Diceros bicornis minor: one gene and its partner. The protein of the gene in region 1 interacts with the protein of each later gene in a pairwise test. Links are inferred from orthologs where the notes say so. Each region holds a gene or a part of one and is shown on either strand. Other genes may lie near its edges.

The links.
Region 2: the proteins of DCX (region 1) and ZBTB5 interact in binary tests that used the Homo sapiens proteins (3 or more experiments, as listed by UniProt). The two-hybrid records come from large-scale screens. The link is inferred for Diceros bicornis minor from reciprocal best matches to the Homo sapiens genes DCX and ZBTB5.

What each region holds. Positions count from the first base shown.
Region 1 is NC_080781.1:103,378,968-103,382,878, reverse strand, and holds the start of DCX (neuronal migration protein doublecortin), read left to right. Parts: upstream 1-1,442; 5' UTR 1,443-1,492; intron 1,493-1,610; exon of another isoform or gene 1,611-1,673; intron 1,674-3,218; 5' UTR 3,219-3,240; coding exon 3,241-3,604; intron 3,605-3,911. UniProt on the Homo sapiens protein: Microtubule-associated protein required for initial steps of neuronal dispersion and cortex lamination during cerebral cortex development. May act by competing with the putative neuronal protein kinase DCLK1 in binding to a target protein.
Region 2 is NC_080767.1:6,499,502-6,503,412, reverse strand, and holds the start of ZBTB5 (zinc finger and BTB domain-containing protein 5), read right to left. Parts: upstream 2,741-3,911; 5' UTR 2,658-2,740; intron 2,553-2,657; exon of another isoform or gene 1,954-2,552; intron 1,948-1,953; exon of another isoform or gene 1,331-1,947; intron 1-1,330. UniProt on the Homo sapiens protein: May be involved in transcriptional regulation.

The DNA of each region.
Region 1 (3,911 bases):
AATAAAATGATTTTGAGTTCTGAGGCAAAATCAATTACTGTATATTTACGGAATGCTTATGATGTACAAGAAAAAGATTTTAAGACATTGGCCTTACAGGACAAGGAAGTTGCAACCATTGGTTGGAATTTCCTTGATATTTCCCTGCTCCTGTTCATTGATATTTCTCTGCCTCTGATCTAAAAAACCCTGATTTTTCAAGAGCTGGCCACAATATGAGGCAGAAACAAATGGAAGAGAACAGGGCAGAAGCATGTAGTCCCCTGAGCTACTTATTTAGAAACTAGGAGAGCAGCAACAAGGTGTTCAGAGGACTTGACTGAGCAGGTTTCACACTTGAGGCTGACCACTCAACTATCATAGATAGCTTAGGCTTTGCTGAGCCAACACCTTCCACTTTGAGGCAGCTTACAGTAAAACACATGCACAGAAAAGTGTTTAACTATAAATCATCAACAGCTATATATAAAAAAGAGGGTTAATTGTACTAGGAATCAGATACGAGGTAATTACTGAGCATGCTATTAGCGAAAAATGGAACCATGATAGTTTAAGATTGCTACATTTTAATGGCTGTAGCCTCAGTTGTGAGGGTGGGAGCGCACCTCTACTCTAGTCTCTCACTTTTCTCTTCTTTTGTCTTATAGTTCGGTTTGATTTAATGAATTCAATTTGGATGCTTCCTTGCTCTTATTATAACCTATTGGATATAAAGAAGCAAATTGGTAACAAATAGGTAGTTTGAGGAGAGAGCCATTAATATTTATCTTGTAGCCATCAGACTTACTTCACCTAGAAAGGTCTCTGGGTTGGTTTTGAAACGTTGCATATCCCATTAACCAAGTTATTATACCAAGCTAAAAGGTCTTTAGGATTCTTTTGCAGCTCCACCTTCCATGAAATTCTGGAACTCTTTTCCCTTATCTCGTCAGTTTCCTACTCCCTCTTAGTCTACTCCACTGATTTCATTTCAAAAACATCCAGTTGGATGCATGAATTAAAATGCCTTAAAGAATTTGCAGATTTGATTGTTTTCTTTCAAGAAGGTGAAAGGAAGAGAGCTAGAATTTCTAAGAAGACTGGTTTGACTGTCTGAGTCTGGCCCCCAGGCAGATTAGGCCAAGGTTTTGTTTGGCCAAGTGAAATTGCCAATTCCCTAAAAGAAAAGGCTAGCACATTGCTCAGTAGAGCATTCTGAACTTGCCTGTGCAATCTTTTTGCTACCCTGCAATTTCCTGTTGGTTATAAATGAAACCTTTCTAGCTGTTAACGCAGCCTGTGAGTTGAAAAAAAAAAAAAAGAGTGTAATTAATCATAGGAGGTTGGGGGATTCACTAAACCTGAGTTATAGGGGAGAACTAGACAAGGCACTAGGACCTAGAAGGCATCTATCCACCCTGGCAGGAATTTCTTGCTTGGAGCTCAGACAACAAAGGCATAGAGAGATTGGTTTTCTTTCTCTCAGCATCTCCACCCAACCAGCAGAAAACCGGTGAGTGGGGCTTTCAAGTGATTTTCAGGCAGAATGTAACAGATGTCAAACGGGAAAAGCACAAGGCAAAGTGCACGCTCTCTCTCTTTCTCTGCTTCTCCTTTTTTTTTTTTTTTTCCCCCTTTGCCTTATTCTATCGGATTTTTTCCTAAGCCTCTTCCTGGGATTTTCCTTTGGAAAAGTGAGTTTGGTGTTGCTTTGTTTTTACCGTGATGTTGATTTAGAATAACACCACCCCTGATCCTAAAGCAAAGCCGAGCTTTACTGGCATGCCTGGGGAAATGCTTCCTACTTGTCTTGAGGAGGTGGGGTCTCTCACCACTGCAGGTTGTCTGACAGAGACAACGCTGAGCTCAGCACAGGTCATGGTGACATTGGAAGAAAAGGGGGACCAAGCCTGGCAAAGCGACTAGGCACCAGTCCTCCTTTGTCCTCCTGGTCCCTTGCAAATATCTCAATGTGGCAATGTGTAGCAGCTGAGCCCTGCTTTCTTTGTGAGTCCTTTTATCCCCATCTGTGAGATGCATGTTAATAGTTTGGTTCCTAGGCTGTCACTACCTTTGCTAGCATTTGGAGCTTCTGTTGCATTTGGTTTCATGTTTTGATTTTTTTTCTTTTTTTTTTGGCTCAGCAGAAGGGGGGAAAGCAAATCTGACAGATGACCATCTTTTGCTTCAGCCAATGCACCTGGGCAATACAGAAGTTTGGGGTGAATTGCCTGCCGTGAGGGCAAAATGCCCCCTCAGTCAGGGTAGAAGTGCAGAACAATGAAAGGTGTGCTTGCTTCTAAAGGTCCCATATGCTGTTCAGGAACTCATTTAGGAATCTTTCGACAATTAAATTATTCCATTAAGAGGTGCGGCTGCATCAGTGGGGAGGAATCGAGTGCCTAAAAAAAAAAAAGGAAAGAAAAGAAAATGATTTTGTGACCAAATGGTAACGGGGGAAAGCAGAGCTAACAACTTGTTAACTAACGGATTTTTCTAATCCTTTTTTTCAGCTTATTGCTTATGAATGTTGGATAGCTGCACCAGCTTGGTGGGGGAAAGGGTTTGGTGAATAGCACAAAGATGCTGGCTATTCCCTGGAGGCTGTCCCTTTAAAGGAGAATCCTAGTTTATTCTGGGGGGAGGGGACACACACATTAGAGTAGAAAAAAGGATTTGGAATAAAATTAAAACACTCGCCTTCATAGTCATTTTACTGAGAGGCAAAGATTGCTTCCTAAACTGGAGATGCTAACGTTGGCTAGCTCCTTCTGTTCTCTTCAAGGAGAATTTTGTCAGGCTATGGATTCATTTACAACTGTTAGCCATGTGGGCATGTGCGAGGAAACAGATGCCAGTTTTAATGTATTTAGCCCGAAGTCACAATTTGATAGGAGCCACTGTCAGTAAGTCCCAAGATTTTAAGCTATTTCAAAATTCCTCCTGCTCCTCTGTTTGGAACAGTGCCAAAAGTGCCTCCTTCCCTATCACTCACCCCCAACCCCCACAACCAATAGCACCCCCCTAGCCCCTCCTTCTTCTCTATTAAGATCAATATTCCTGCAGGTCAGGGGCAAGCAGCAGATGGGTCACGGGCTTTTTTCAACCAGTTCTTTTCACAAGCAGCAGATTGCAGATCTGGATCTAGCTAATATTTGAATTCCTTTCGTTTTTTTTCCTCCTCACTCCTTTTTCTTTGCCTCTTTTCACTCTCCCCCGCCCCTTTCTACAACACTCAGGTCTCTGAGGTTCCACCAAAATATGGAACTTGATTTTGGACATTTTGACGAAAGAGATAAGACATCCAGGAACATGCGAGGCTCACGGATGAATGGGCTCCCTAGCCCCACTCACAGCGCCCATTGTAGCTTCTACCGAACCAGAACCTTGCAGGCACTGAGCAACGAGAAGAAAGCCAAGAAGGTACGTTTCTACCGCAATGGGGACCGCTACTTCAAGGGGATTGTGTACGCTGTGTCCTCTGACCGTTTTCGCAGCTTCGACGCCTTGCTGGCTGACCTGACTCGATCTCTGTCTGACAACATCAACCTGCCTCAGGGAGTGCGTTACATTTACACCATTGATGGAGCCAGGAAAATCGGAAGCATGGATGAACTGGAGGAAGGTAATTCAAAGAGTGGGTGGTGGCCCTTGGTGGGAGGTGGCAACATTGGTTCTGGTTACATTTCTTGGATTTCATTGACAGAAATTAGAAAATACATTTGTCAAAACACCAGGTTGATGCTTAGACTTCTGATTCTCTATGTATCGACAGAGCCAGTAGCCATTACCCTTCATGGCCTTCAGTCTCTGCTGGAGTGAAGTGTAAGATGGTGGTGATAATGCATTGTGCTTATCTGTCAGGGTTTACAAAGGAAAATCTGAATTGTGTCATTTACTCTAGACCTTGTTCATAATTAAGTAGCACTATC
Region 2 (3,911 bases), on another chromosome or scaffold:
CTTTCTATAACAAACTTTCTTCCGAGTACAAAGGCAAATTTGGAAAATTAATTAGTTAAAATTACAATGAATTAATTGGGTACAAAAGTCTCTCAAGTGTATCAAGTTTCATTAAATCTAAGATGCCAATGATTATAAAATGCAATATTATTTCACGTAACATTAGGAAAGAAAAAAAGTTGCTAATTAAGCTGGGGCATAATGCTAATTTATGGCATCCTGTCTTCAAGATTAAAATGTGAACAAAATGTGGTTTAGAATCCAGGAAATACTGGAACCTTAAACACTTTCAAATATGTTAGAAGATCAGAAGGAAAATTACCTACAGATAAAATAATCTTGGATACTAAGACAGTAATCTGTTTATGCCTACTATACTACAATAAAGTCATACTCCAACACAATTCCTAATCTGTTTGAGCTGTCAGAAATATAAATCAAAGCTTTCAGCAAATGTACGTAGAATTAATCAAATGAAAGTCACCCCCCAAAATTGAATGCTCAGAGTAAAGCCACTACTCAGTGATGAAAACAACTGTAAAGAGCAATAGTTCACTCAGAAACAGCTGGTCTTTCAGATATGAGAAGTTCACACTTAGACAAAACCTGCAGTGTAGTGTTACATTCCACTCCACCTGCTACACTAACACAAACTGGCTTTACTAGACAACATCTATATTTGAGAAGTGTTAAGTACAGTAAAAGAGAAATCATACACTTAAAACTGACAGAGGGGAAAAGTATTTGTTTACAACAAATTTACATTTAAAAAAAAATTGAAAGTTAACATGGAATCAATACCTTGGGTTTTTCTTTTCCCTTTCCAAGAAGAAATTGAGGCAGATTCAAGATTCTGTGCCAGCACTACAGCATGCTCTGTCATATCTCACTGTACACAAGATATTTTAAAGTCTTACCCACAATCAAGAACTCCAGTTCAATATAATTCATGCTAAGTACTTTAAATACTAAAACACTACATGCATTTTGTAGCCAAGTGATCTTTTTAAATACTTCAACTAGTGATGATCTTGTGCCAAAGTCTCTTTTGACAGCACTGATCCCTAAATTTAGAAAAACACCCCACTATAAGATGCTCTTCTTCCAAATTTCATCACTTTCAGAATTTTCCTAGAGACATCTCAATTATCCAGAATACAGCTTGCCAGTATCCCCAACCAACTATACTATGTTTTGATACAATTTTTAGGAGAAAAAAAAGCAAATCAAAAAATAAGTCGACTTCAGGACTCTTTAAAAAAAAAGTCCTGGCTCATTCATTCAGCAAAACCCAAGGGCCCAGAACAGGTCCCCAACCAGTGAGCCTTACCTGGCAGGTTACCAAGCTAGCTGCGGTGGCCAGGCCAGTCTTCCCAAGTTTGCTGGGATTTCCAGAGCGGGTTAAAGCAATCGTGGTAGGCCTGCCCTTGGTTTAGGGGCGTTTCTCTAAAATTCTCTTTCTCCTCCCCCGACCTGGTCTCTTCCCTCCGCCTCGGCTCTTGTAGCTTATTGCCAACCACCCTCACCACGGAAATCGCAATACTTCAGCAAATGAAAAGGAAACGAAGAGGAACCCAGCCCACCTTTTTTAAAGATCTAAGACACAAGGGCCCATACAAGGATGACAAACCATCAAAGACGACTAAGGCACAGCACTCTCTTCAACCTCTAAAGAAAGATCCCAATGTATGTAATATCTTCTACTTACTACAATTGAAAAGTATATTAACATATTTTGAAAAATTTTTGTTTCAGTTCTTGAAGGTGAAGGGTTTCTTCTATTCATTCTAATTATCCAGAACCCGAGCATACCACTTGGTCATCAAGACTTTACCTCAAAATTTTTCTCCCAATGAAATATTTAGGTGTGTCTCCTATTCAGAAATCAGCTTCTACAGTGCCCTCCACTACGCCAGAATTACCAATAACCTCTTTGGGAAGGAAGGAACTAACCTTCAACCCCCGGTACTCCACTGCCTTATGTACCGATGCACAACCCTGCCCGGCCTCCACACAAGGGACGGGCGGGAATGGCTGCGCCTCACCCCTGCACCCCCACGGCTCCCCGCCCGAGGCCCGTCGGTAGCGGGCAGTCAATAAACGCCCATCAACACTTCAGTCCTCGGACAAGTCCGGGCATTCCAAAACCCTGGCGCCACCCCTCCGCGGCGGCCACCGGTTCCCGATGCCTGGCTGCCTCGGCCTCACTCTGGTGATGAAACCTCGTCGCTCAAGGAGACCCAGGCTGGGGGCATGGGAGCCACCCGCCCCCATCCCGCAGCGGGACAGAGCCTCTCTTCACCGCGACAGGCTGCTGGTCCGCAGGCCTTTCCACCCCATCCCAGGAACCAACATCGCCCGCCCGCGGACCCGAGGGGGCCGAAGCCCCCGCCCCAGCCGGCAGGCAGACAGCCTGGCGTCGGGTCACGGGGGACGCCTGCGCAGAAGAACCCGCCGGGCCCCTCCGCCACGAAGGGTAACAATACCCCTCGTTAAGACAGGCAGGGCAGGCTGCGGACGACACCGGCACGCGTCCGCGCGCGACCCGAAACGTGACCCTGCCCCCGCCGCCCGCCCCGAGGCCCCGGAGCGCGACCGTCTCCACAGGAGCGCGCCCGCGCGCGCCACCGCCGCTCGCGCTGACAGACTCGCCTCACCTGAGCCGGGCTCCACCCCCCTTCTCGCTGGAGGAGGTGGTGACCCTTCTCCGACCCGACCCGACAGTGTCGGGAGCGGGGACGTCCAGGCTGGCGTCTCCGTGATGGGATTTCCTCCCCCTTCCGCCCACCTCCCCCCCCGCCCCCGGCCACCCCGCCTCTGTCCCCCAGCTCCTTCAGCCCGCTCGCCGCCGCACTCCGAGAACACCGCGGCAGCGGCCGACAGTAAACGGAAGTGACGCAACGCGAGATCGCCTACTCCTCCATTCCTCCGCCCCTCCGGCCGAGCTGCAACCAATCAGCAAGGGAGGGGGCGTGGCCGGGGCAGAAACGCAGCCAGCCGGCGCTCGGAATCCGGGGGTATTTGCTCGGCCCCCGGAACACTGACCAATCCACGGTCCCAGGAGCCTCCCTGTGTTTACTACCGACCGAATCCGCGAGCGCTGTGACCAATCACCGTTTGCCGTACAACACAAAACTGTCATCGAACGCCTCTTAAGGCGGGATTTATCACACCGGGTTTGGACTATACACGAGCGACTGTGTGCCGCCACCGATCAAACCCCGTTCTGGCTGAGGCAAGCGGGTTTTCCGCCTAAGTCCCCCAATCAGAATCACGGCTGCCTGAGGTCTGCGCGAGCCTGGAGGCGGGCCCCAGAGCAGTGCGTCCCACCAGTGGCTGGACCTGGAGGGTTTCCCCACCGTCGGCGCCCGGCCCTGCGGTGACCCCCGGCTCCCGGTCCCAGCGAGCTTTCTTCGGGGAGCCGGCACACGCACTCGGGTAGAGGTTCTGTTGCGACCTCGTAGACTTTGGAAAAAATTAAGTAAAATTCCAAGACGCTGTTTGTGTTGAATTAAGCCAAAATCCAGGCTACAAAAGGTGAACCCAAAACGCCGTCCGTCTGACGGCAGTTGGGTCCGCTCCGCCGCGCTTCCAGTCCCAGTGGCGGCGTCCCGAGGCGCCGGCGCCTGAGGAGTCTGACGGGCGGGCCCCGGCTCCCAGGCGGCGCGTCACTCCGCGTTCGGCGCCGCGGGTCTAACGAGCCTGCAGGCTCGAGAACCAAGCCTCCAAGACCACGTTGGAAACGTGGGGGGGTCGCGGACCTCGGTGGGACGCCGGCGAAAAGAGCAGGCTCCGCGGCGGCTCTGGCTCCCGGGTGCACGCTCCGTGGGAGAGCATGAGCCCTGAGGGGGGCGCCGGCGGGGCTCCGAGGGCGCCGGCCCCGAGGCGGGGAGGAGCCCCCCCTCCGGTGC